Linked DNA regions of Anolis sagrei. The protein of the gene in region 1 binds, or shares a complex with, the protein of each later gene. Links are inferred from orthologs where the notes say so. Each region holds a gene or a part of one and is shown on either strand. Other genes may lie near its edges.

Region 1 (14,714 bases):
AAATATTTAGCGTTAATATTCCCAAAATTTAAACAATATAACTCAATCAAATTATAACCATTTGTGGAAAAAAGTAAACAAATTCACAATTGGAATGACCGGAATTGGGATATGTCAAGTAAAATTAAGACAGTCAAAATGATAACTATAGCAAATAATGTCCCACCAACTAGGGGTATCCCACCAGGTGTCACCAATTATTTTTTAAAAAACTGGTTACAGTGAATGGTACTTTTATCTTTAGTTTCTTTAAAAACAAAGTTCCACACATAGAAATCCAAACAGGAACCCTTTAAACCATTTTGAAATCTCCCTCCTACACAGCACTCTAAACCCTATAGAGGCCTAATAACTATTATTCCTCAAAGAAGTATCTTTTCTATAACAAAACATTTCCCAATTCTCTTCCTTCCCCCCTTCACAACTCCTTGTCCTTCTTTATTTCCAAAACCCTAACTCCTCCTTCCATCCCAAATTCCTAACTGATCTTAAAATGGCTGCTTCATCTTATTCCCTCTGCCTCAGGCTCCACTCCTGAGCTTTTCCCTCCAATTCCATCAGCCAATCGGGCTGCACTTCTGACCTAGAGATTGCCTGATCGCTCCACCCCTCAGCTCTGCTTAGTTTCAGCAAGCTGGGCCTAGCTTCTGCCTTTTACACCAACCCTTTACACAACATCCCTTTAGGGTAGGCCAATCTGTTACAATGATTCTCCCCAAATATTTAGTCCTGTTCCAAGTCCTATCATATCCCCAATAAAATAATCAAGAAATGGGACAACTCAATAAAAACTTGGTTAGCAGGAACAAATAAAAATAGAATCGCCAATTCAATATTTTACTCCCCAGAAGGAAATGGAGGGTGGGGGGGCACCCAATCTAAAGCACTATTTTGGGGGCTGACAATTAAGAAGATTGTTAGAATTAGACTTCGATGATTCAAGAAAATGGGTCAGAACTGAAAAAACAATAAACGGATGAGATCATTGCCTGTGCTTAAAAAGATGGGTGGATAATTTTCACTATTGCCTGAGAAACATTGCCTTCAACTATTGGAATAAATATTTCCCAATATAGTTGGAGAAGAAAGAAACTCGGATTTTAATTAGATAAACTTAGCAGTTGTGTTCCTCAAGTCATTGCAGGAATATGGCATCTATAGGTTTTCTTGGCAAGGCTTATTTGGAGAAGCTTGCCATTGCTTTCGTCTGAGGTTAAAAGTGCGACTTACGGGGTGAATTTCCATGGTTGAGCAGGAATTCAAACTCTAGTTCCCAGCATCCTTTTATAACACTCAGCACTACACTATACTAGTTCCCAATGTTCGATTGAAATTGTTTTGCTTTTTCAAAAGAGATATATAAAATTGTTTCCTAGAAAAACACTGAAATACACTTTTAAAAAATCATTTCTGCACCATATTTTTTCTTTCAATAGGATAGAAATTGCATTTAGTGTATTCCATCTCAAATGTGACAAACCATTATTGTGAAGCCCAGATTTATAAATTCAATGCAATTCTTTGCATGTTTGATCAGAATATATTATCATTGCATTTGGTAATGCTGGCTCCAAGGGAAAAGTGCATAGGACAAATGCATTATGGCTGTAATATTCCGTGGACAATTATGAAACTTATGGCTGCTAATTCCTGGACTTGTTTACCTTAACAATTAAGCTTTAATACATTGCTCCTGGCTTTTAACAAACCTCTTCCTTAATGTACTGTAAACCATTAGTAGCCATACAATCCTTGTAATGTTATCTTTGTGTTGTTGAAGGCTTATATGGCCAGAATCCAGGGGAATTTCAGACAAGAATCAATCAGGGCCGGGCTAACACCTCCCAACAAAGGATTCTCCCAGCAACAACCAGTCAGGCTTTGAAGCTGTATGGCCATTAAATGGTAATCAAGGTGGTCAACTGCAACGTTCACACTTGCCTCAAGCAGACAAGAGTTCTTTCTCCCACCCTGGACCTTCCACAGATATATAAACCTCCCTTGCCTAGTTTCCAACAGACCCCTCAACCTCTGAGGATACCTGCCATAGATGTGGGTGAAATGTCAGGAGAGAATGCTTCTGGAACATAGCCAAACAGCCCAGAAAACTCACAACAACCCAATGTTATCTTCAACAGAAACGTAATTTTTGTTTGTAATTTTTTTCTAAGGCTTTATGTTTATAATTTATTTAAAAAACAGTGTAAGTGTAAATAGACATCGATAAAATAGATTTTTAAAACTAATTTTGTGTTAATCAAGATGGAGCTATCTTAGTTTATGTTGTCACCGGACCAGTGCTTACTTTTCAATTGTATATCAAAAGCTTTTTGTTATAGAGAATTGCTGGATGAGACTATGAGTGCAATTCTGGTTCCTTACACATCATAGTTTCCTATTGCCTGTCAAGCTATTTTCTGGCTGGGGTTCCATTAGCGCTGCAGAAAGCAACATAAATTGTTTTGCACTTATGCTCACAATTATCAAGGGAAAGCTAATGTTCTTCTTTTTAAGTATCAGCAATTTAAAATCAACACCTAGAGTCTTAAATCTTAGATCGTTACTGTGGAGGAAAGAAGAAAAGCACAATGCTGTACAGTACTTAAGAAATATTCCAGTTTAATATAGCTGGTTTCCTCTTGGTCATTTTCTATCTCTTAGATTGATTCATTGCAGGTTGAGGATAGTGGAGTCCTGGAGATGTTGTTGAACTGCAGCTCCCAGTATCCTACTTCATTAGTTGTGCTAGAGCTGCTGGGATTTACAATCCAAAAACATTTAAAGGATACTGGGATTTCCATCTCTGGATCATGGATTCTTACTAGAACAGTGGTTCCCAACCTTTTTTTGACCAGGAACAGGGACCGTTTGAACAGGGACCACTTTGACCAGGGACCACTTTCCAACATTAGTACCAAAAGGATTACGAATCAGTTTTTGGTCAACTTTAGATTTGGTTTGGTTATTTGGGGGTGCTGATTCAGAAAATTGCACTGGATAGACCATATCAGCTCTAGTTTCTGATTCAGACATATGCCATCCAGTAGTCACCATCTGCTTGCCCATAGAAAACCATATTTAATAATCTAGAGCTGATGTTATAGTAGTAATCTTTCGCAGGTAGTGCTTCGGCACTATTAGAGGGTTTTGCGAGACCAGTTGCTCTCATTGCCACGTGGTTTCAAGGCAACGGTGGAGTAATGGTAAACCGTGGACCATATTTTCATTCTTGTGAACCACTTATGGTCCATGGAACACTGGTTTGGAACCACTGTACTAGAACGTAACCATGCCAATGGCTTTCCAGGGTTAAAATGATATTACCAAGTTTTGTCCTTCCTAGTCTGGCTGCAGACAATAGAAACAAAAAAACTTGTACAAAGAAACATTAAAATGAGAAATCCATGAAATGTGAAGCCAAGAAATGCTTCTGAACACAGAAAGCACTATAACTGTCACTCTCTACATCTGCACTTAATACTCACTAGATACAGCCATAATAACAGAGGGAGTAGAAAAGCTCACTCCTTTGCTGCACTCCGATGATTGCATAGTAGTGTTTCTAGCATGAATGTCCACCTTTTCAGATTAAATTATCTTGGGTATGCCTCCACAGAACATGGACTGAAGCTGACACTTTAACAAGCATAATGCGCTGATTTACCGAGCAATGGGTTTGAAATAGAATTATGGGGTATGCCCTACCTTTTCCCCAATATATCTGCTCAGTAAATTCAAATAATGGAGGTTTTGGGCTCTATATAACACTAAAAAGGCTGTAGTGATGTGACAGTGTTTTTCTGACACAAATCATAGCAGATATGGTTCCAGATGAGTGCTTGATTTCCATGTAGATTTTTAGAAAGCTTTCCTGAGGCAGAATACCTGGTTGTCTCTAAATATTAAGATATTCTATATATTAGTGTCATAGTGTTACATTTAAATTGGTTTAATAATCCTTGGATTTTATTTCATTTCCCGCCTGTAAGAACCATCGGACTGAGAAGCTTCAAGCAGCTGATTCTGTGATATGAAAAGGAAACAAATTATTCAGGTTTCGTTGTAATAACATTGCTGCAGTGGGAGACTTTTCTTTGTTATGCTTTAAGAAGGATAGTATTTTTGGTTGATCTTTGTACAGTTAATAACTACCTTGTGGGTTTGGTAGGGAACAAAAACCTTATGAGATAGTCTTTGTCTTGAAGTTTGTATATATGAGCCTTCAAGACATCGGTTGACTTACGGAGACCCTATGAATTTGATGAGGTTTTCCTAAGGAAGAACTTCCGTACTTAGAAATAGTTTCATTTATTCCATTTTATATACAGTATTCACTCTGTGATCCACCCTGAAGGGGACTCAGGGTGGATCACAGAACACATACACGCAAACATTCAGTGCTGTTATACATTGACAGGACACATGACTGTACATAAAAAGAGGTATATATAGGCTTTCCCATCTTCCGCATGTTGGAGACTGTGCTTGGATCCGGCCATGGGGAGAGGTGGAGGGTGCTGCCACTCCACTTTCCCTGCCAAAGAGCTTTGCTTGTAAACTTCCTCCTTGATCAAATGGCTGGCATTTTTTCTGGCATTTTCTTATGTGTGCCTTAAATACCTCCACGTGCCTTAAATACCTCCACCCCAACCATGGCTGGAGTCAAGCACAGTCTTCAAGATGCCAGAAATAAGATGGGGAAAACTGCCTTTACCTCTGTTGTGTGGTCTGTCCTGTTATTGCATAATCGGCATTGAATGTTTGCCATATGTGTATTCTGTAAAGCTGCTCTTTAAAAAAATATAAATAAATAATATTGCTAATTTCAGGCTCTTGCAATAGAATAAAAAGCCAGTACATTACATTATTCAACTTACTCATTACTAGAGTTCCAGTCCTTTTTCTCAGGACTTTACATTTAGTCATTCATTCCATCTGCCATCTAGCATGAGGACGTTGCCCTTGTCTTGAAAGATCTTTATGGTTTTGTTCCACCCTATCCAATTTTGACTCATTTTACCCCATGTTTCTGCCTGTTTCTTCTTATATCCTATCCATAATCTTTCCTTCTTTTATGCTCACCTCTTAAGACAGGTACTGAAAGATTTCCTTCCTCTTATTCTCTCTTGCTACTCATGCTTGGAATTCCTTCCCAGATCACCTATATACGAATCCTGTTGAAGTTGAGAGCAAGAGTGGAGGTAGAGCCGTATTTGGTTAGGAAGAGAGGCTGGTCACAGATTCAAATTTCTGCTCTTCCGTGCGCTCACTGGATAACCATTGCTCATTCATTCTGGCTCTGCTTAAGCTTCCTTCCCTGCTGACAGTGAGGCGGAGTTGCCTTTCTACTGCCTTGAAATGCTTAGATAAACAGCAGAGGAGATGGTCAATGAAAATTAAGAGCTGGAAGCTACTTTTTAGAGGAAGGAACTGGCAAAACCACCTCTAAGTATTCCTTGCCAAAGACAAATTAATGGGATCACTGTAAATTGAAACATATATGAACATGAATGTAATCAATACAAAGAAGCCATACCCTTACGATTTCATCCCAGTAATCCTCAAGAAAAAAGTGGCCTTAAATAATAGGGGACTTGGTGGTTCTTATTTGAGATTCCCTTCTTTTTCACTGGACCTCCCCTCGCTCACATGTTTAAGCAGGGAAATGCAGTGCACACACCCTTGGCACTGAATTGTCATTGCTATCTATCTCAGGCATGGGCAAACTTCGGCCCTCCAGGTCTTTTGGCCTTCGACTCCCACAATTCCTATCAGCCTAAGGCCTCTTCCTTTTCCTCCTCAGCCACTTGGCTGAGGAGGAAAAGGAAGGGGCCTGAGGCTGTTAGGAATTGTGGGAGTTGAATTCCAAAACACTTGGAGGGCCGAAGTTTGCCCATGCCTGTCCTATCTTCATAATCAAAGACTTTCAAGGGGGCATGGCACTGAACAACAACAACAACAACAAACAGCTTGTCATTAAAGACTTTCTGAGGACATGGGATTTAATTAGTTCTATCATCATTACATTTTGAGCACCCCTTACCCAGAATTCTGGAACCTGAAATGCTTCTAAACCTGAAACTGTCCACATGAGTGGCTGAGAGACTGAAACTGTTGCTTTCTAATGGTTCAATGTATCCAAATCGTGTCATGCATAACATTATTGAAAAATATTGTCTATAACATGAGCTTGTATATAAGATGTTTATGAAGCGTAAATCAATGTTATGTTTAGACTTGGGTTCCATCTCCAAGATGAAGGATGTATGTCTGTGAAAAGACAGGGGTTCCAAAATCCTGGGGAAAAAATATCTGAAACCCAAAACATTTCTGGTCCTAAGCATTTTGGAGAAGGAATACTCAAAATAGCAATAGAGTCTTGATTATCCAACCTTCATTCATCCAACATTCTGTATTATCCAACGCAGTCTGTCTCCTGCCCAGTTTCACTGCTCTTCCAATACATTGAGATGTTTTGGTGCTAAATTCATGAATACAGTAATTACTACATAATGTTACTATGTATTGAACTGCTTTTTCTATCGATTTGTTGTAAAACATGATGTTATGGTGCTTACTTTGTAAAGTCATAATATATGTTGATGTTTAACAGGCTTTTTCTTCATCCCTCCTTATTATCCAACCTTTTCACTTAGCCAACATTCTGCCGGCCCGTTTATGTTGGATAAGTGAAACTCTATTTATTTATTTATTTAAATACTTATATACCGCCGTTTCTCAGCCTAGCCGGCGACTCAACGCGGTTTACAGCATAATATAACAGTCAACAATATACAGTTAAAATATACTGGAATAATAAACCACAACCATCATCATTATCATCTCTTCCTCCCCGAAAGGCTTGGAAGGTGAGCCCATCTTCCCAGGGCCCTTCCAGACAGGCCCTATACCCCAGGATCTGATCCTAGGTTTTCTACTTTAAATTGGATGATATGAATCCCCACTGCCAGATAATCTGGGATAAACAGAAAAGCTGGGATCAGATCCTGGGATATTGGGCCTGTCTGGAAGGGCCAGCAGTCAAGCCCTTCCTTCTCTAATTGCCTCCCTAGCTTTTCACAAAGAAGAGCTGCCCTTTCCTTCTTTTTTTCTTCCTTCCTTCCTTCCTTCCCTTTCTCTCCTTCACTTTTTCTTTCCTTCTCTTTTTCTCTCCTTCCCGCCTGCCTTCCTTTTCTTTTCTTTCCTTTTCTTTCTCTGCCTCCCTCTTTCCTTCCTTCCTTCCTCCTCTCTCTCCCTCCCTCCCTCCTTCCTTCTCTTTCTCTCCCTCCTTCCTTCCTTCTCTCTTTCTCTCCTTCCTTCCGTATTCCTTCCTTCCCTTTCTCTCCCTCCCTTCCTTCTCTCTCTCCCTCCTGTCTTCCTTCCTTCTCTTTCTCTCCCTCCCTCCTTCTTCTCTTTCTCTCCCTCCCTCCCGTCTTCCTTCCTTCCCTCCATCAATCTCTCCTTCCTTCCTTCCTTCCTTCCTTCCTTCCTTCCTTCCTTCCTTCCTTCCTTCCTTCCTTCCTCCCTCCCTCCCTCCCTCCCTCCCTTCCTTCTGGCCTCCCTCCCTCCCTGCCTCCCACCCACCCACCTGCTTCCCCCTGGTCCTTTCTGGAGGGGCTCCTCCTTCTCCTCCTCCTCCGCCTTTGCTGACGCCGTGCTGCCCCTCCTTTTCGCGGCCACCTGCCTGGCGACGAGGGGCGGCCCGGCTTCACCTGCCTCCGCCGCAGCTCCCCGGGGCGCCAGCGAGGAGAGGAGAGGAGAGGGGAGGGGGCCAAGCTCCCCTTGCAGAAGAGGAGGAGGAGGAGGAGAGGGACCCCTGCTTTCTCCCCCTCCTCACCCGCTCCCTGCTCTCCTCCTACCTTCCCAGCTGCTGAAACCGCGCCTGCTCTGGGGCAGCACCAGTTCAGCCCTGCCTTCTTCGCCTGTCTCTCTCTGCCTTTCTACCAGCATCAGCAGCCTCTTGCCTCCTCCTCCTCTTCTTCATCTTCCTCCTCCTCCTCCTCCCCTGCCCGCCTGCATGGAGAGGGAGAATGGCGGATAGAGAGAAAGGAGCCACGTCCCCGACCGGATCCTCCCCGTTCCTGGGCTTGCACCTCGCCTCGCCTCCCAATTTCAGGTAGGGGAGCCTTCCTTCCTTCCTTCCCCTCTCTCTCATCCTTGGGGGCCCTTCCCAGAAGGAGATGCTGGGGGAGAAGGACAAGGGAAGAGGAGATGGAGGAGGAGGAAAAGGGGGAGCCACAGCCTCCTTTCTGCCCCCCACTTGCCCACCTTCCCTTCCCCAATGGATTCTCATAGACCCCCTCCCACAACACCCCCCCCCCTTTAGCCTATGTGCTTTGAAAGAACCTTTCCATCCTTCCTCTCTGCCTGTCTATCAATCTGTCTATTTCAGCTGAATGTTTATTATAAGGATGCAGGTGAAAGATGCTCTGCACTGAAAGATGAGGAGGTGGTGGGGAGAAATGGAACACCCACCCACCCCCATTCCCATATTTCCTCCATTTCAGGCACCTTTCTAAGGAACCAAGAGGCAATAATGGGTGCAGTGGGTAATCTATCTTCCCCACACATCCTCTGAATGGTGGCATTGCCCAGCAGGTGGGTGCCAATAGCGCCTCTCCCTTTCTGGAACAGGTGGGGCACAGGAGTGTGGCTGACGTGTGCGCCTCTGGAACAGAACAACCAGGGCTGGGGGGAGGAGGAGGAGGAGTGGCATTTGTCTTGCTGATTTGGAAGGAAAGAGGTTATTTGGAAGGGGGGGTGTTGTCCCTCCTCACATCTTCCAAATATCACTGACATTCAAGCTGCCTGGCACAGACACCCCTGCTTCCTTGTTCTCCTTATCTCAGCCCCACAGTATTACACCCAACACAACCCTATCTGAATCCAAGCACTACCTCACACTGTTTCTGACCTCCCTACATATTCCCCTCATTATTCCTTCCATATCAGCAGCTTCCACAGACAAATCTTGCATCTTCCCAGGAAATAGCGACCGCCACACTGATAAACATGGACATCCGTGAAGCAGCCCCTCTCCCTATTCTTCCAAGTGAATCTGGAAGCCAATCCTGAAGGCAGATTTATAGCTGATTGAATCAGGGTGGTAAATATTAGACACCATATTGGATTTGAACCATTAGGAGAAAAAATGTCATGTTTACAAGGATGAAGTGACAATACAAACCAGACAGGCCTTGAAACCACCTGTTTCAAGCATCTTTGCATAGGCTATTGAGATGATTTCTTGAACATTGTAACATGATCCTACCACTGAAGGTACATCCTGCCTCTGGGTAGCAATTCAGCTCCTCCATGTTTGCTCATTTAATTGCTTGTGTCTGGTTTGTGTTCTATGTTTATCTGCTTTTTAATTGTGGGAATTAAGAATTGTCTTTACAAACCTATGATTATTGGTTTCTAAATATCCAGTATGTTTTCTGATTTGAAAGCATTGCAGAGGGAAATGTTTTCTGAACTGGAAGAGAAACTAAGCTCCTCAATCGATTCTCCATGTTGCAAGATTTTTAGAGTGCCTTCAACCTGGACTGGTTGCAAGAAAATATGTCACTTTTCATGGGGCTGGGAATGGAAGATGATGGGGTTTTTAGTGATTGATTATGACTTTGTAAATGAGATTTTCTGTGACTTAATGGGTTTTGTCTGAGTAGAGCTGTCTGTTTGTCTTGTGTATCTTGGGATCTGAATGTTAGTAAGAGAAGATTGGGTTGCTGTGAGTTTTCCAGACTATATGGCAATTTTCCAGAAGCATTCTCTCCTGATGTTTCACTCACTTCTATGGCAGGCATCCTCAGAGGTTGTGAGATCCTCACAACCTCTGAGGATGCCTGCCATAGATGTGGGGGAAACGTCAGGAGAGAATGCTTCTGGAACATGGCCATACAGCCCAGAAAACTCACAGTAATCCAGTAATTCCGGTCATGAAAACCTTCAATTATCAAGTTGTCTCCAGAACCAAGATTCCCCATAGAAAAGGCAACCCTGTCTCCAGCCTATCCAGTCTATGACTTGTCACAAACAGTAATGGGCAAAGAAGCTACCTACAAATAAAAACATCTCTGATACAGTGATGACGCCACTAGATTAGCTTACATTATTCAAGTCTGCTTCTTACAAGCTTGAGCTTTCAGAAGCCTAATATTTAACCTTTACAAGAGACCATAAAACTTTGTCACGTGGCATTTTCAGATGTCAAAAAGAAACCACTGCTTTCTTTTCATCTAGTCCAGATACGTACAATGCTAGAAGAACAATCTCTGTATTGTCAAAGGCTTCCATGGTTGGAATCCCTGGGTTGTTGTGAGTTTTCCAGGCTGTATGGCCATTCACATGTACTTCAAAAAGACAAGAATTCTTTCTCCCACCCTGGACATTCCACAGATATATAAACCCCATTTTTCTAGTTTCCAACAGACCTCACATCCTCTGAGGATGCCTGCCATAGATGCAAGCAAAACATCAGGAGAGAATGCTTCTGGAACATGGCCATACAGCCCAGAAAACTCAAACAACCCTGAGCAATCTCTGATCTCCATGAAAAAAGAGGGAAGCATGCCATGTCCTCCCGCCCCACCTCACCACCACACACACACAATTTTGTTTTCTTTTGATTTGCTTCCATAAGCATTCAGATCTGGAGAAGAAAAGAACAGAGTTAGGAACAAAATCTAGAACCAGGATGAGTTACTCATGGTCTTCCAGATGTAGTTGGGCTGCTTTGTTGCTTATGCTGACCAAGGCTGAAGAGAGTTGTAACCCAACTATATCTGGAGGATCACACATTTCCCATCTCTAATTCAGGATAGATAACCAGGATGGTCTTCAACATTTCTCTATTTTAATTATTTCATTTCATTTTATTTAGTTCCCTATTAGATAAGATAACTGGTCCATCTAATGCAGCCTGTGGGTCCCCAGATGTTTTGGCCTTCAACTTCCAGAAAGCCTAACAGCTGGTAAACTGACTGGGATTTCTGGAAGTTGCAGGCCAAAACACCTGGGGACCCATAGGTTGAGAACCACTGATCTAATGGGAGGTTCTTTCTGGGTATTCATAAGCTGGCATGCCTGGCACAATCCTCCTCTGGATTTTATGGTCACATATACAGCCAAGGAACTCAAGGCAACAACTACAGTTCTCCTTCTTCCCCGTGTTATCTTCACAACTACCCTGTGAAGTGGGCAAGCTCAAAATGATTGAGTGACCCAATGCCATCCAGTGAGTCATGCCAAGGGTGGCCAAACAAATCCATGCCTCGTTGGTTATAAAATAAAATAAATGTGGTATGCTTGAATCAGCATACCACATTCTTCATAAAGAAATGCTACTGATGAAGTTGAAGGTTCCATTTTCTTTGCACGACAGTTCTGGGTTACTGTGAGTTTTTCTGGGCTGTGTAGCCATGTTCCAGAAGCATTCTCTCCCAACGTTTTGCCCACAACTGTGGCAGGCTTCCTCGGAGTTTGTGAGACCTCACAACCTCTGGGGATGCCTGCCATAGATATGGGTGAAATGTCATGAGAGAATGCTTCTGGAACATGGCCAGGCAGCCTGGAAAACTCACAGCAACCCAGTGATTCCAGCCATGAAAGGTTTCGACAACACAATGATAGTCCTGTCTTCGAAAAAATAGATCAACCCCCTTTTAAAGCCATTCAACACCTTGTGTCAATGAATAGTATAGATTAATCATCCATTGTTTGAAGAAGTACTTTTATTTTGCCTGCCCTGAAACTAAATATCCTCATCCTCATATCTCGACTTACCATTCCCGGGCTTATTGTGGAAATGCAAAACAAGGGATAATAGCAAATCTTATTGAAATGAATGACTTCTGGAAGAAGCATACCATAGAATCATTCTGGAAGACCTAGAAAAGGCCTAGCAAGAACACCTCTCTAACATTTCTGGGTCCTAGCCTGACTCTGTGGTCAATATCCAACAGAAACAAACCATGAAATTGTGTTGAAGGACCTAGAAAATGCATAGAGAGGACACATTTTGGGATATGAGTGAGTGAAACCATGGACATCAACCCCACAGATATGGGGATAGTAGTGTACTATTAATCTGTTTAACTTGACAATTCCAAGTTTGAGTATTGTATGAAGGATGAAAATATTTATTTATTGATTGATATTTATTTATCATGTCAGAAGCAAATTTATCATGTATTTAAAAACACAAAAATTAAAACTTGACATTATACTAAATGTCCTTTGACTAGAAGCTGGCCACTTGGAGTGCCTCTGGTGTCACTGTAAGATTTATTGATTTATTGATTACTGTATAGCCATCCCATTACAAGTGTTCTCTGGGCAGAGCACAAAGGAATATAAAAATAACAGTAGTGAAAACAATAAAAACCATGTAACCTCAGTTCTCCGTGTAATTAACCTCTGTGACACTTCCTCCATCTCCAGCTCAAAACAACAATTGACCAAAAAAAGCAAAACAAATAAAAACAAACAAAGATATTGTGATTATATCGACATTCTCCAATAGTGAAGCTATGATTGTGATTGTAACTTAATAAGGAACTTTATACATTTTTGCTTGGTAACTGTAACTTTTAGTTACTTTTATGCTTATAGGATTATGACAGAAAAGGAATATGGTTCAAGTATTGCCTTGTGCAGACCTTATGCTGTCATCTCGTTTTCTGTTGTGAGATGACACTGAAATGGATGGGAAGAAAGTGTTGTTTGTATTGCAAACCAGTGTTTTGATTAATTTAGGTTTTTTGCACACATATACTGGTAAAAAATGTTGTCTATTTGAATGATTTATGTGAAACAGGAATGAAAAATGCTACTTTTAAAGAACTGTAGCTAGAACTATAATAATATAGTTTTGGGGGACCACTTTTAAGTGAAAGTAGTGACTTTTAAGAAGCATCTTTCAGCACTTTGCCCACCTTGTGCTTTCCCAGTAAACTGAAAAGCCCTAGTTCGCTTATTTAGCCCAGGCTGGGCTAAGTTTCTTTTTTGTGTCAGGTGCGACTTGAGAAACTGCAAGTCGCTTCTGGTGTGACAGAATTGGCCATCTGCAAGGATGTTGCCCAGGAGGCATCCGGATATTTTCCCATCCTGTGGGAGGCTTCTCTCACGTCCCTGCATGGGAAGCTGGAGCTGACAGACAGGAGTTCACCCCGCTCCCCAGTTTCGAACCATCAACCTTTCGGTCTGCAGCCCCATTGCACCACTGGGGGCTCCTGGCTGGGGTAAATGTGGCCCTTCAAATGCTTTTGGGCTGTAATTCCCCTAGCATTCCTCACCAGGAATTATTATGGCCAAGTCTGAAGGAAATTGCCATCCAGCAGCATTTAGGCCAGAGTGTTCCAAATGTTTCAAGTTGGTGACACACCTAGACTTGCATTATTTCTCAACACAGTAATTCAGTTTTACTGGCAAACTAGAGGTTAAATCAATCCCTTATAAGCAATAGGGACACATACATAACTTGTAATAACAAAATGTATGAGGACACAACAAACATGAAGGAACTCAAGTTAATTAAGGTAAATCAAATGAATAAAGTTAACTAGCAAGGGTTACAATAACTAACTATCCTACTTCATGTGACACACCTACACACTGCAGTGGACATAGTAAGGGTCATGACACACTGTTTGGAAAGCTCTGACCTTGAATACCACATTCTACCCATTCCTCCATTAATTATTCCTGTTAGGCTAAAGTATTTGAAACTCCTGACAAATTATGTTGCCCTTTTCCGCCCTTGCTCCAGTTGTGTCATTGCCAGTATTTCCAATGCAGCTGCAACTTTGATTTATATAAATGCATAATTATCCTGGCCTTTTAATTTTCCAGCACTTTCTAATAATTCAGAATTTGTAGTTGCTTCTTTTTACCAGTACTGACATCGGGGTAAATGTTTTTATCAAATTATTCATCATTGCCATCAGATCTCCCCCCCCCCCCCACCCGAGTAGCTACAATCTACTAAGACCACATCACTATACAGCAGTGGTTCCCCACCTGTGGTTTGTGGACCACCAGTGCTCTGCAAGAATTAAAATATGGTCTGGGGCCTCACCATTACACCTTGCCTCAAAACCATGCGGCAACATGGTCTCGTAAAACCCTCATATGGTGCAAACGCAATGGGGATGTCAGGAGGGGAGAGGCTGACTACACACGAAAGATTGCTACTTCCACATCAGCTCTAGATTATTAAATATGGTTTTCTGTGGGCAAGTAGATGGCAACTACCGGATGGCATATGTTCCGTATCAGAAACTAGATGCAATTTTCTGAATCAGCATCCCAAATAACCAAACCGAATCTAAGGTTGACCAGAAACTGATTTGTCACCCTTCTGGTACTAATGTTGGAAAGCAGTCCCTGGTCAAAGTAGTCCCTGTTCAAATGGTCCCTGTTCAAGTGGTTCCTGGTCAAAGTGGTCCCTGGTCAAAAAAAGGTTGGGAACCACTGGTATACAGTATTTGTGAAGTGTAGCCCCCTCTCCCCGCATCCCCATAAGCGTCATTTTGCACTTAGTTGTATCTGATTTGTCATGTTGCTGCCCATTCACCCAGTTTAGAGAGATGTCTTCATAGTCTGCTTTGATTTCATCATTTTGAATAACTGAATGTTATCTGCAAATGTGAGTTTCTCAGTGCTCATCTAGACTTCAGATTCCATAAAATAATTTAAATCACCCTAGTTCT
Region 2 (15,343 bases), on another chromosome or scaffold:
GAGGAACAGCTTAAAAAGCTGGGCATGTTTAGCCTGCAGAAGACAAGACTGAGAGGAGATATGATAGCCATGTACAAATATGTGAAGGGAAGTCATAGGGAGAAAGGAGCAAGCTTGTTTTCTGCTACCCTGGAGACTAGGACATGGAAAAATGGCTTCAAACTACAGGAAAGGAGATTCCACCTGACCATTAGGAAGAACTCCCTGACTGTGAGAGCTGTTTAGCAGTGGAACTCTCTGCCCTGGAGAGTGATGGAGGCTCCTTATTTGGAGGCTTTTAAGTAGAAGCTGGATGGTCATCTATCAGGGTGCTTTGAATTTTCCTGCTTCTTGGCAGGGGGCTAAACTGGATGGCCCATGAAGTGTCTTCCAACTCTATAAATCTATAATTCAATAAAATTGGAATGATAAACATTTCAAAGTTTAAGTAATGAAAACATCAGTGTGTCATAGAAAGCATAGGGTTTTTTTTCCAGCACTGGGATTACTAGGTGGCCCTAGACTTAGCATGCATCTGCACTATGGAATTAATGCAGTTTGACACCACTTTAATTGAGCAGAAGTAATGATGTAACTTGTTGGAACAGTAGCATTATGGAAAGATTTTTCTTGTTTCAGCAAATTAATCAACTGATAACATATTTTCCTATGTCATGTTATGTCCAGATAATTTAGCATAGGATTGTTGTTATGCCTTGTGAATTTAATTGCCTGGTTTTATTACAGATGCCTTTGTTTTGGATGCCTGTGGCCCATGATTAAATATTTAGCTCTAGTGTGGTCCTTTGGTGGTTTAAAATAATAGAAACCAGAATCTCTCACTCTCCAGTGGCTATAAATATGGATTATTTTTAGGATTTGGGCTACGGAAGTCACCATGATGTGCTAAAATTTACCACCAGGAGTCTGATTTCCACATAATAGCCTTTAAGCCTTCTTTTTGCCCAGTGGTTCATCTCTGCACAGTATTGAGAGAAGCAAAGTGCAACCAGCTGTTAGATGTGTGTGTACTGCAAAGCTGATATGGCTGAGACTGACTGTGGGAAACACAATTCCTTTATCGCAAAAGACAGCTACCGGGAAGATGCAATTTTCTATTAGCCTGGTTGTTCGGAAGACAAATACTGTAATTACTTTTGGGACCCTTTTCAACCTCTGAAAGAACTTAGGCTGTGTTGTCTCCCAGGCATTTTTGTGGGTTGTAAGTGGGCTTAAAAATACAATCCATTGTGCTACACAACAGCAGAGACAGCTAACCCTATTGACTCGTATTAGTGCCACTGCTTTCCACAGTTCATTCAAGAGTTTTCAATGGGCGAATCTGTACACTAAGAGTTTAAGTGAGATGCTTGTTATTTTGCAAACAGAATCTACCTTCTGTACACAAACCTTTAGGCACAAATGAAGAATTTAGTGCTCATCAATTGTGTTGGTATTGGACAGCAATTCTACAGTAGTGCACCTAAGAGCATGAGAAGTTATCTCTAAGGAGGATGAATATAATGATGTGCTGAAGCCATCTGTGAGCGAACATAAACTCATACTTTGAAAAGACCACAAGGGCTTTCTAGTCAAATCTCCAGATATGCAGGAATACACAACTAAAACACTCCAGAGAAATGGCCATCTAACCCCCAAAATAGAGAGCCCACCATCCTCTGCGGTAGTCTAATCCACTGTTGAACAGCCGTTACTGTTAATAAATTATCCCTTGAGTTTAGGTCAGTGGTTCCCAACCTCCTGAATGCCCCAACCCCTTAATACAGTTCCTCATGTTGTGGTGACCCCCCAACCATAAATTTTTTTTGTTGCTACTTCATAACTGTAATTTTGCTACTGTTATGAATCATAATGTAAATATCTGATATGCAGGATCAGGCATGTAGCTGGGGGGGGGGCTTGAGGGGCTTCAGCCCCCTCCCCCCAAATTCTCAAGAAGGCCTTACGGGTACATTATTTAAACTGTTATGTTTATTCATATCATGATCTGATCACCATACTCAATATATCTCATATGCATGGGGGTATTGGGGTAACGATACAAAAGGTTTGCTAGGATAGACCCTCTTTCACTCAAACTCACCCCCCCCCCCAGAACCAAACTCGGCCCCCCCCCCCAATCAAAATCCTGGCTACGGGCCTGTGCAGGATGTATTTTCCTTCACTGGACCAAATTTGGCACAAATACCAAATACATTCAAATTTGAATACTGATGGGGTTGGGGAGTTGTAGTTGCTGGGAGTTATACTTCACGTACAATCAAAGAGCATTCTGAACTCTACCAATGATGGAATTGAGCCACACTTGACACACATAGAACCCCCATGACCAACAGAAAATACTGGAAGGGTTTGGTGGGCATTGACCTTAATTTTTTGAATTGTAGTTCACTTACATCCAGAGAGCACAGTGGACTAAAACAATGATGGATCTAGACCAAACTTGGCACAAATACTCAATATGCTCATATGTGAACACTTGTGGATTTTGGGAAAAAATAGACCTTGACATTTTGAAGTTGTGGTTTCTGGGATTTATAGTTCATCTACAATCAAAGAGCATTCTGAACTCCACCAAAGATATAATTTGGCCAAACTTCCCATACAAAACTCCCATGACTAACAGAAAATACTGTTTTCTGATTATCTTTAGTGCCCTGTCTGGCACCCCCCGGTGACCCCCCCCCCAGGGGTCCCAAACCCCAGGTTGAGAAATGCTAGTTTAGATGGAACTCTTTTCTTGTGATTTGAGTCTATTGATTTGTGACCTAGTCTCTGGAGCAGTAGAAAACAAGATTACTCAGTCTTTAGCATCATAGTCCTTCCGATATTTAAAAATGGTTATCATGTCAACTCTCAGTCTTCTCTTCTATACCCAAGTCCATAAGTCATTCCTTATAGGTCTTCATTCCAGACCTTTGTTCATCTTGACCAACCTTCTTTTGATGTATTTCAACTTGTCAATATCCTTCTTGAACTGAGTGCCCAGTGGACATTGTACATATTTGAGGTAAGACCAAGCCTTAGTCAGGCTTAGTGACAGGCCTACCATATTAATACTGATTAGCTTAGGTTCCAATGAAAAAAATCCAGGAAGGATAGCAGGGGAGCCAACAAAGGGATGGGGAATAAAATAGCAATGGAAAAAAACCCTATTACCTACATCATTTCATGGACAATTCCCTAAAAAATACAGTTATAGTCTTCCTGAGACTCAAACCTTGCCCTCTGGCTATCTATGCACCTTATCCCACAGCAGCAAGAAGAAAAGCTAGACCAAAAAGAACTCTGCATAACTTCTATGTTTTTTCATTGACCTGGCAGATATCTTTTTATATATTTTCATAGTCAAGAAAGCCACTGCTTGATTATCTCATTTCATCAATTTTGAACATTTAAAAAATGGAACGAAAAAAGAAAGAGTAAAAAAAATCTTTTCTTTTCTAGGTCACTGTTTCATCTCCATTTGATACCAGAGGCTGACTTGTCTCTTGCCATTTTCTGGGCAACTCATCAACTCGCTTAGTACTGTTTTACTTGCAGCTGCTCGAGATGGATGGGACTGAAAAAGGGAAATGAAAGGTTAACTTTGAATTGCGGCTTGAAAACAGCATCCATTCTGAGAAGCTTAGGAAATTGGTTTTCTGTTTCTGTTTCTGAGGAATTCCAGGTCAAGGCAGGGACTGAGATGCTACATTCAAAGGCACATAATATAGGAATTTTTACTTTTCACAAGCAAGGCTTGTTATATACCTGGAAAAATGAATGAATTTTCCTTTGGTCTAGGCCTAGAAATTTGAATGCGAATGTACTCCATCCAGCTTTGTAACAGCAATTTCTCAAGTGCAGTTGTTTGTCTTGACAGCTCTTAGAGTCTTTCCCCAAAAGAGGGTCCAAAATGAACATGCACACATCTACCAAAGAACTAGTATAAAAGTAATAAGGATGCAAGGGGCTTGGTGCAAAATTTCCCATCCTCAACAACATAGGATGGCCCAACACTTCAAGACTCTCAGTCACAAGACAGCCATTCATTATGAAGTGTTGCCAGATTTCAGCAAAGTAGGATAAAACTTTGTATTCTCAATTTTTGTTTGTGCAAAAACAAAACAAAACAAAACAGGTCCCTCCCCCAACCTTCTTTGCATCTTCTTTATGTCATTTTTGTGTGTCTTTTAAATAATAATAATAGTAATAGTAATAATAATAATAATAATAATAATAATAATAATAATCTCTACAACTCCCAGAAATCCCAGCCAGTTTACCAGCAGTTAGGCTTTCTGAGAATTGAAGGTCAAAACATCTGGGGACCCACAGGTTGAGAACCACTGTTCTATTGCATTTTTCATTCTGTTTCCAGAATTAGAAGCCCCATATACTGAGCCATGATATTGTGATACATGGAATATAAGTACATATCAATCACTGCCTAATCTGTGCCTCTGGATACATTGGATTGCAAGTACCATCGCCCTCATTGAAAGGGTATAGGGGCGGGGGCTGATCATAGGTCTGCAGGGCATTTGCTTGGGAAAGATATAGAATACAGGGTTCTGGTTGGCTGTGTGATTGCTTGGTACTAACTGTGAGAGCTATTCATTAGTGGAACTCTCTGCCCCGGAGTGTGGTGGAGGCTCCTTCTTTGGAGGTTTTGAAAAGAGGCTGGATGGGCATCTGTTGGGGGTTCTTTGAATATGATTTTCCTGCTTCCTGGCAGCGGGTTTGACAGGATGGCCCACAAGGTCTCTTCCAACTCTATGATTCTGTGATAGCAGCTTCAGCACAGCAGGTTAGTCACCAGCTGCAATAAATCTTTCCAACTGAAAGATTGACACTTCAAAGCCGGGTCAGGGGGAGCTCCGGACCTTCAGCCCAGCTCCCAGCCCACCTAGCGGATTGAAAACAGCAACAGGAGTAAATAAATTAAAACCACATTAAGCAGAGAGGTGTTTTAGGCATGATGTTTCAATCAGAAAAAGGAGGAATGTTTGTGAACAAAGAAAGCCTTTAGGCAAGGAGATGGAGCAATAGCACCCCTTGTGGCCGGAACCGAGCACAACCTCCAAAGATGCCAGAAAAATGGGAAACTCATATATAAATACCTTTATCTGTTGTCTGTATTGTCATGGTATAATTGTCATTGAATGTTTGCCATATATGTGTTCTGTAATGTGCCCTGAGTCCCCTTGGGGGTGAGAAGGGTGGAATATAAATACTGGAAATAAATAAATAAAGTATAGCATTATACTTTATTAGAATGGTTTGGGACCAGCCTACCTTCGTGACCACATTTCCTTCTACGAACCTACATAATCCCTTTGATCTTCTGGAGCGGCCCTTCTCGCACCCCCACCCCCATTGTAAGTGTGACTTGTGGGGACGAGGGAGAGGGCCTTCTCTATGGTGGCTCCTCAGCTCTGGAGTTTGCTCCCCGGAGAAATGAGGCAAGCACCCATCCTGGCAGACTTCAGGAAGAGCCTAAAAACATGGCTGTTCCAGTGTGCCTTCAATGAATGAACAATAATCCCTGACCTTGACTAAACCACACATAAAAATTCCTTTGAATGCACTTTATTTCACCCTCTAGTGCAACTAAACCCCATTGTTTCATCCCACTTGAACCTCCTTCTAGATACACTACATTACTTATCTCACCTAGAGTTTTTAAACATTTTAATCTTTGCAACCGGCCTTGCCCATTGTGTTCTATTATTGTGATTTTATATTGCATTGTGTGCCTATTTTGTACTGTTTATTATTATTATTATTATTATTATTATTATTATTATATTTTATTGATGTATTATTTTATGTTGTATATTTGCTTTGTTGTGATTTTTGGGTTTGGCATTGTGTAAGCTGCCCCGAGTTCACTTGGGGAGATGGTGGTGGGGTATAAATAAAGTTTTATTATTATATTACACGCGTTACTGTGGCCAACCTTCCCTCCCTTTTTCTCTCCTCCTTTCTTTCTCTCCTTCCCTTTTTTCTTTCCTTCTCTCCTCCTTTCCTTCTCTTCCTCTTCCCTTCCTTCCCCCTTTTCTTTTCCTTCTGCTTTCTCCCCTTTCTTCCTTTTCTGCCTATTCTTGGACTGCAACACCCAGCAGTCCTCCTGATCCATCTACCTACCTATCTATATCGATTTATCTGGAGGATTGCTGGGAGTTGCAGTCCAGGAATAGGAAATGGGAAATATGCAGGGATTTGGATGCTCTCAAAGAAATCCAAGGAGAAGAAAGCTTGCCACTTAGAAGCAGTGCATTTGGATCATCCTCCTCTCCTAAAGTTCCTGGTCTAGGGGCTGCTGGGAGCTGTACTCCGGAAGAGAGTGTGGATATGCTATTGTGTGATTTGTTTGCCAGGGAGAGTCATTTTTGCACATGCTTTGTAGCATCTTTTAGCTTTTTTTTGGATTTTTAAGTCCCTTCTGCTGTGTTTTTCAGTGTTTTTATGAGTGATGGTCACTCGTTGGCCTGATAGGTGTATTGTGTCCAAATTTCCTGTCAATTCGTCCAGTGGTTTTTGAGTTATCCAGTGGTCCACACTCTTGTTACATCCCGTATAGACTACTGCAACGCACTCTATGTGGGGTTGCCCTTGAAGACTGTTCGGAAACTCCAACTGGTCCAGCGAGCAGCAGCCAGATTGCTTACCGGAGCGACATACAGGGAGCATACCACCCCCCTGCTGTGACAGCTCCACTGGCTGCCGGTTAAATTCCAAGCACAATTCTAGGTGCTGGTTATGGTTCCGGTCCAGCGTATCTGTCCGAACGTATCTCTCTCTATGTCCCACCCCGGAATTTGAGGTCATCTGGGGAGGCCCTGCTCTCGACCCCACTGCTATCACAAGTGAGGCTGGTGGGGACGAGGAGCAGGGCCTTCTCAGTGGTGGCCCCTCACCTGTGGAACTCACTCTCGGGGGAAATTAGGGCATCAACATCCCTCCTCTCCTTCAGGAGGAAGGTAAAGATGTGGTTGTGGGACCAGGCCTTCGGGCAATCTGACAATTAGACATGGACAGCCAGATGGATGGGACTGAAAGGACTGACAATTGTGGAATTGGAATTTTGAACTATGAGATTGCGAAACGCTGACCATCAATGAGGTTTGTATTGGTTTTTATTGCTTTTATTGGTTTTATGGTTGTCTCTGCCTATACTAATTACTGTTTTCTGTTAACTGTTGTTATTGCCAGAATGCTGTTTTGTTAACTGATGTTATTGTCTTTTGCTATATGTGATGCGGGCATCGAATTGTGCCTTGCTTTTGTAAGCCGCCCTGAGTCCCCCACACCACCCCCACCCCATCCCGGGGTGAGAAGGTTGGGGTAGAAGCAACCAAAATAAAATAAAATAATAATAATTATGTTAATCCCACAAACAAACACTACATTTTTATTTATATAGATTATTATTATAGTATCCATGGGGTTCTAGGACCCCAATGATCCTAACATCTATGGGTGCTCAAGCCCTGTTATATACACAGTGGAGTATTAAAATGGTATTCTTTACATAAAATGGCAAAAGCAGGCTTTACTTTTCAGATTCTTTCTGGGATTATTTGGAATGGGTAGATCAGGCCTGGGCAAACTTGGGCCCTCCAGGTGTTTTGGACTTCAACTCCCACCATTCCTAACAGCCTCAGGCCCTTTCCTTTCAGCTTAAGCGGCTGAGGGGGAAAAGGAAGGGGCCTGAGGCTGTTAGGAATGGTGGGAGTTGAAGTCCAAAACACCTGGAGAGCCCAAGTTGCTCAAGCCTGGGGTAGATAGATGCAGAATCCATGGATAGGGAGGCCAAAGGTAGCCTCAAACCTACTAAGGTAAAGCTGAATGCAGAAAGAGAAAGGTGTGGAACCGAAGAGCAAACCAAGGTGGTCCTTGTCTTGGACCAGATCAAGCACTTTGGGATTTAGTGCATGGCTGGGCTGCATCTCAGTGGTGGGAAGCTCTGAGTAGGTCATAAGCACCCTGCCCAGCCAAGGCCATTGCTCTGGCCATCTTCCATGCCAACTCGGCCTGAGAGTCCAGCTGCTATTGCTGATAAACCATCACAGAAGCTTATTCAGCGTTGCTTTTTTCCTATTTTTTCCCCCCTTGGCCTCGCAGATTTCACCAGGAAAGGAGGGGAGGGAGATACAATGGCTGGCGCTGCAGATTAGACTCCCCCTCTCCTCCCCTCCCCTTCCCTCCCTCCCTCCCTCCTCCCGAGACCTCGCTGGGCTTTGACGTCACGTGGGCTCCTTCCCCGTTGCCATGGCAGCGCCATTCCCCAAGCCGGCTCCCCCCCCCCTTCCTTTTCCCCACAATGGTCCAGCCGGCAGCATCAGGAGCATCCTCTCCAGCGCCGCCACCAAGCGAGGCCCAATGGTCTCCAGATTGTAAAAGAGGGTGATTCAGCAGGACACCTTCCCTTCCTTCCTTCCAGCCGTCCCTCCTGCTTCTTTCTCCTCCTCTTCCTCTTCTCTTTCTCCATCTCTCCCTTTCTTTCTGTGACTGATATTACGCACCAGTTTGAAGTCCATTGCTTCGTTTGCCTCCATCTCCAAAAAGAATAAGCTTTGGCACCAAATCCCTCCTTCACTTGCAAACCCCCCTCTCCCCACACACATCCCTTCCTATAGTTGACCATCACCAGATTCCCTATACACTCCCCTTTCTCCTTTCGTCGTTATACCTCTCCTCTCTCTTTGCAGATTCTTTTTCTCCCCTCTCTCTAATTTCCCCTCTCTCCTTTCCATCACCTGTTCGTCTCTCTCTCTCTCAATCTCCCTCTCTCCTTTCCATCTCCTGTTTTCCTCTCTCTCACTTAAAACCCTTTCTCCCCACATCAGACTCCCTATACACCCCTTTTTCTCCTTTCGCCTTTATCTGTACCTCTCTCTCTGCAGATCCCCATTTCTCCCCCCTCTCTTTCCTTTCTATCCCCTTTTCTCCCCTCTCTCAGTCCCCTTCTCTCCTTTCCATCTCCTGTTCTCCATTCTCTCTAAACCCTCCTCTTTCCTTCCTATCCCCTGCTCTCCTCTCTCTCAATCCTCCTCTCTCCTGTTCTCCTCTCTCTCACTTACAACCCCCTCCCCCCCCCACACACACACCTTCCTATAGTTGACCATCACCATACACCCCCTTTTCTCCTTTCGCCTTTCTCTCTATCTCTCTCTCAACAGATCCCCTTTTCTTCCCCCTCTCTCTCAATAGGGGGGTCATTTCCATCCCTGTTCTGCCCTGTCTCTCAATCCCCCCCTCTTCTTTCTATCCCCTTTCCTCCATTCTCTCTCAATCCCCCTCTCCTTTCCATCTCCTGTTCTCCATTCTCTTTAAATCCTCCTCTTTCCTTTCCATCCCCTTTTCTCCTCTCTCTCTCTCAATCCCCCTCTCTCCTTTCCACCTCCTGTTCTCTCTCTCACTTACAACCCCCTCTCCTCCCCAATACATATACCTTCCTATAGTTGACCATCACCAGACTCCCTATACACCTCCTTTTCTCCTTTCGCCTTTCTCTATACCTCTCTCTACAGACCCCCATTTCTCCCCTCTCTAATTCCCCCTCTCTCCTTTCCATCCCCTGTTCTTCCCTGTCTCTCAATCCTCCTCTCTCCTTTCCATCTCCTGTTCTCCATTCTCTAAATCCTCCTCTTTCCTTTTCTCCTCTCTCTCTCTCTCTCAATCCCCCTCTCTCCTTTCCATCCCCTTCTTCCAGCCCTCCAAGCTACCCATTTCCCTTCTCTCCCTCCCCAGTAAGAATGGGGCGCTTTCCAGAGACCCCTTGACGTCGCCACAAGGAGGGCCAAACCAAGACCCCGGCAAGAGGCGGGTCTGGAGCGCAGGCACTGGAATGGTAGGTGGTGGATGTGGGAAGAGATGGGGAAGGGGGGGGGGGCTGCTGGGGCTTTGAGACCCCCCTCCTTTCCCTTCCCTTCGTCTTTGTGAGAGGAGGCGGGCTGATGAATATTGATTGCTGTTAAAAATAATCGAGGGGAGGGGGAGGAGGGAGAGCGCGCGCGTGCGTGAGTGGAGGAGGGAGAGAGAGAGAAAGAGAGAGATAGAGAGAGAGAGGCAGGTTAATGAAGTAAACTGCTAAGAGAAGCAGCAGGGAGGCGAGAGCTGGACCGCAGGCCACCGGGAAGGCAGCATCCTTTTGGGCCGGTGTCGGGGTTAGTAGCCGCGGCTTGTTTGCATCTCTCTTTTGGGTCGGGTTTGGGATGCGATAGGATCTGCATTGGCTTCCCGGAGGAGGGTGGAGGGGGATGTAAACACAGGGCTCCTTCTGCTGTATCTTGTGCTTCTCTCTGTGCGCGCCCCCCTCCCTCTCCTGTCCTTTGAAAAGGAACCATGACTCTCATTATTTCATGTTTATTTGTTTTTCAATCGGGGAAGCATGGGCCAAGGGATGGGATCTGTTTGCAAGGGGGGGTTGGGTTGTGGATCACATCATAACAAAGATGGCAAGGTAACCATAATAATTAAGGTATTGTCGCTTTCATGGCTGGAATCACTGGGTTGTTTTCTGTCTTTTGGGCTGTATCCCTTCTTAGTATTATCTTAGTAAATGTCTTAGTATTATCTTAGTAATTATTATTTTAGTAATTGTAACAATTATCTTAGTAACAATTATCTTAGTAATTGTTGAAGGCTTGCATGGCTGGAATCACAGGGTTGTTTTCAGTTTTCCAGGCTGTATGGCCATGTTCCAGAAGCATCTTCTCCTGACATTTCACCTGCATCTATGACAGGCATCCTCAGAGGTTGTGAGACCTCACAACCTCCAAGGATGCCTGTCATAGATGCAGGCAAAACGTCAGAAGAGAATGCTTCTGGAACATGGTCATACAGCCTGGAAAACACACAACAAAACATAATAATTAATGTTTTTCTCTCTAAAAAAATCACTTTTCCTTCCCTGATTCTCATACCTTATTCTCTGTTTCCTCTACTCTCTCCCTCTTGAAAAGGAATCCAAAGTGTATCTCCCTCCAAAACTCTCTTGGTGGGATATTTCTCCCTCCCTGCATGAGATAAAGGTGAGGGTCCAGAGGTGAAAACAAGGGGATGGAAAATCCAAGTGGTTTTATTTTTGTCACCAGGAAGTCCTTTCTGAACATAAACATCCCACTGGCTTGCATAACAATTCTATGTACGCAAAGTGGATAAGAGATCCATCTTTCTTTTGAAGGTAGACCTAAAATTTAGGACAAGCATGAAGTGGGGGCGGGTGAGTGGGTGGGTAGCCGGTTGTGCCATGTAAAGGGACATTCTCCAATTGCATCTAAAGACTGCAGCAAAAGCAATGGAGCTTTTACCGGAATAGCCTTTTCGACAGCCCCGGCTTTTACAATTTGTTCGGATAGCATTTTTCTCCTTTCTGCAATGCGGGCCCTGTTAAAAGATACAAAGAGTTTGCATGGCTGTCTCTTGGAGGTCATAATTCAGTGGATCGGTCTAATGAGAGGGTTTGCATTTGTGTGCATGCTTTATTATTTTTTTATTATTTTCTTATCCTCAGTGGCCATAGGCTTGTTTACATGGGTGCCTTTTGCTGCAGAGCCTCACCGTTGCTTCTCCAATGCAGTTTTCCCATCTTCTCATCCGGCTCTCTGGGTGATTTCTTTTTCTGGTGTCTTGCAAAAAAGATGGCTCATCCATGCATGCATACACAGAACCTGGTCTCTTCTGTTTTGGTTTTTTCCTCCTCAAGGAGAGGAAAATGAAGATGGCCAAGGAAAGAAATAAAAGGGGTGGATGATAACATCGCTGTTTTGATTATACGGGTCTGCTGATCTTCTCATGCAAGGCCAATAAAGATGGGGGCATGAGAGAGAGAGAGAGAGAGAGAGAGAGAGAGAGAGAGAACTGCTGACAGGGAAGATAGACAGTGATTGTGTTGAGCTGAACCACATGCAAGCAGGCTTGCTTCCAATGACAGGAGAATGAAGAAGGAAGGAAATGATTTTAGGGCACGTTGGAAGCAGTTGGAGACGGAAGAATCCATGGTGTGTGTTCGAGTTTGACAGTTCTTTCCCTCCATAGGGCTCCTTCCCCTTGTTGTATTTCCAGTTTTGCCCCATCAGGTACCATCCATAGAGCTGCTGGATTAAAATTTCAAAACAAAGGAATGCAAAGGAGAGCTGCTGATGTGAAGCGAGGGGCTGTCCCCTTAGGATAAGACGTGCCAATAATAAAGCAGGACACATCTGACAACCCTAAATTATACTTGCTCATTTTTTTCTGGTGTAGAGTGCTTGGTTGTTCTCGTCCTCCCCCAACCCCCTCCCACCGTTATTGTTAAATGAATGACAGAGGTGGTGTGATATGAGCTATTCAATCAAAAGCCGGCCCCCTTCCCTCCCCTTTTCCCAGATGGACTCTTATTCTACCTCACCATTTCAGAGCATGTAATATTTTTGCAAATGTCCTGTTTGTTGTGGTGGAACACAGCAGGGTGGCTTTGCAATGCTGGTCTGATTTAGGAGAGGAAAAATGAGGGAATCTTTTAGAATGGAAATACCAGCTACCTCTGGCTAGTCCTGCGTAGATGATAGCTGTGTAACCTAGTTGTCTCTCTTGTGGCTTGAGAGATGTGTGCATGTTTATTGGATCTGGGAGAAGCTGTTTATGAGTACTTCCCAGCAAGGATGAGTGTTCAGATATGTTTGTGTTTTGCTGGCTTCCTAGCATAGGGGTCAATAACTGGAAGGCAAAATTGTTGCTGAAGACACTGCAAATTCATGCTCAGAGTTGGAAGTGTTCTGTGTATGTGGAGAAGGGGGCGTTGGAGCAACATCAAAGGTTCTAGGCATTTTTGGGTTTTGTTATGGCTACCTTGCCGCCGCCCCCCCCCCCCACACACACACATACGAAGAATCATAGAATCATAGAATCAAAGAGTTGGAAGAGACCTCATGGGCCATCCAGTCCAACCCCCTGCCAAGAAGCAGGAATACTGCATTCAAATCACCCCTGACAGATGGCCATCCAGCCTCTGCTTAAAAGCTTCCAAAGAAGGAGCCTCCACCACACTCCGGGGCAAAGAGTTCCACTGCTGAATGGCTCTCACAGTCAGGAAGTTCTTCCTCATGTTCAGATGGAATCTTCTTTCTTGTAGTTTGAAGCCATTGTTCCACGTCCTAGTCTCCAATGAAGCAGAAAACAAGCTTGCTCCCTCCTCCCCGTGGCTTCCTCTCACATATTTATACATGGCTATCATATCTCCTCTCAGCCTTCTCTTCTTCAGGCTAAACATGCCCAGCTCCTTAAGCCGCTCCTCATAGGGCTTGTTCTCGAAACCCTTGATCATTTTAGTCGCCCTCCTCTGGACACATTCCAGCTTGTCAATATCTCTCTTGAATTGTGGTGCCCAGAATTGGACACAATATTCCAGGTGTGGTCTAACCAGAGCAGAATAGAGGGGTAGCATTACTTCCCTAGATCTAGACACTATGCTCCTATTAATGCAGGCCAAAATCCCATTGGCTTTTTTTGCCGCCACATCACATTTTTGGCTCATGTTTAACTTGTTGTCCACGAAGAGATTGTACATATATAGTTCCTTCAAAGTAGCATACTGTTTGATGGACCACAAAGGGCCAAAGAGAAGCCAAAGAGAAACAGCCATAGCATAGCAAAGAATACCAAGGCTGACCTACTATAAAGCACCATGAGCAATCTCTTCAGGTGACATTTTCTGGAGGGCAGCAATGCCAGCCTCCTGACTGTTAGTTCTCGACTCAAAAGATTTTGTATATATATTTTTTCTAGCATGTTCTGTATCTAAAGATCTCAGGGCAGTAGGGGGGAAAACACAGCATGATCAGATTGAAACAGTATAAATAATAAAATTCCACCAAAGGGCTAAAAAACATTAAACCATGTAACAAGCTTTAAAAAAGAGACTAGAACCCATTAAAATACTTTTAAACAATTCAAAACCATGCCACTGTACAGATCGGTATAAAATAGAGGTAGGCAGGAGGGCAGATTTTGACTGATCATTGGAAAGAGCATCTTGATGCTAAGGATGGGTCAAAAATTGAGCCAATTACATAAAAAGAAGTGGGATCACTTTCTCTTGATGACTTCAAAAACCTGCTCCGGGCACTCTAGTTGGATATCCGGCATTGAGCAGAGGGTTTGGACTAGATAGCCCATGTAGGCCCTGCTATCTCTGATATTCAAGCTAGGTTTCCAAAACTTTTGTAAACAACATTTTTTGACCTGACATAAAAATTATAGCAATGTGAGTGCCTAGTGTTCCTCCAAGGGAAGGTTATTCCATAACAGGGGAGCCATGTCAGAGAAGGCCCAGATCTCCTACGTTTGCCTGTATGTAAACTAGCATGATATCTCAAGTACACTAGGAAACACTATGCCACCACCAGTGTACAAGTATGATTGAACTGCTGATCTGGTTAGTGTCTATAAATGCACTTGGGAATGGAGGGGATCTTGTATTTTGTCTCAGGAAGCAAAATGTCTTGAACTGTTCCTGATAGATGCATGAGCCATAGTGTATTGACAAGATATATTAACCCAAGGATCTTTGAGGTCAAATGCATACTCAGCCTAAAAATGGTGTACATGGTTTTGCTATTATATCTCCGAAACTTGTGGGGAGGAAATGAGATAAAATATTTGCTTTGAGCAACATAGGGAAAGAATGGGATATAAATGTGACACTTAATAAAATAGGCACCATACTGTAAAGCCCTTTACATCGCTGTCAATGTCCTGATTGGTGGCAGCTGCAAGCTACCCTTCAGGTTGTGTTCCAGACTTTAAAAGAGCTGTCCAGGGTAATAAAGTGTATTCCAAGAACAAGTTCAGAACCATGGATAGCTGCTTTAAAATCTGTAATAAAATTTTGAGTAGAATTACTGAACCTCTGAGATTGCAGCCACTCAAAACTGTTGACAGTATCCCGTGGTCTGTTGGTGTAGGAGGGATTATAGCTTAGTGGGAGAGTTCATACACAGCCCAAGGCCATTTGTCTACTGCTGGATCTTTTTTACAGACAACAGTGCTCTTCCTGTTAAAAAAAATCACAATGCTAGGGAAGACCTTGGAAAACTGGTCATTTGGAGGAGACCAGTGGTTCTGAAATGGAGTAGACAGTGCTCAAGTTATATTGACCAGTGGCTGAGTTCAATATAAGATACCTTCTTGTTTACAATCAATGGAAATACGTTCCACTATGTTTAGTAGAGCTTCCTCCACATAAGTATGAGTGTAGTACAATCCAAGCATTGACTGACTTCAATGCTACTTGTTATTGTTGCTAGTTGCCCCCAGGTCAGCAATGGCTTTGAGGCAACTGAGTTATGGCAACCCTATCTTATTTTAAAAC

What was found.
Region 2: the proteins of MAPK8IP1 (region 1) and MAPK10 are in contact, whole or in part, in a crystal structure (PDB 3PTG), measured with the Homo sapiens proteins. The link is inferred for Anolis sagrei from reciprocal best matches to the Homo sapiens genes MAPK8IP1 and MAPK10. Residues at the interface, in NP_005447.1 of Homo sapiens: Pro158, Lys159, Arg160, Pro161, Thr162, Thr163, Leu164, Asn165, Leu166; in NP_620448.1 of Homo sapiens: Asp150, Ala151, Gln155, Val156, Met159, Leu161, Glu164, Arg165, Tyr168, Leu169, Tyr171, Val197, Lys198, Ser199, Asp200, Cys201, Trp362, Asp364, Glu367.

What each region holds. Positions count from the first base shown.
Region 1 is NC_090021.1:277,857,795-277,872,508, forward strand, and holds the start of MAPK8IP1 (C-Jun-amino-terminal kinase-interacting protein 1), read left to right. Parts: upstream 1-7,663; 5' UTR 7,664-8,030; coding exon 8,031-8,116; intron 8,117-14,714. UniProt on the Homo sapiens protein: The JNK-interacting protein (JIP) group of scaffold proteins selectively mediates JNK signaling by aggregating specific components of the MAPK cascade to form a functional JNK signaling module. Required for JNK activation in response to excitotoxic stress.
Region 2 is NC_090025.1:19,257,998-19,273,340, reverse strand, and holds the start of MAPK10 (mitogen-activated protein kinase 10), read left to right. Parts: upstream 1-9,151; 5' UTR 9,152-9,841; intron 9,842-10,005; exon of another isoform or gene 10,006-10,157; intron 10,158-15,343. UniProt on the Homo sapiens protein: Serine/threonine-protein kinase involved in various processes such as neuronal proliferation, differentiation, migration and programmed cell death.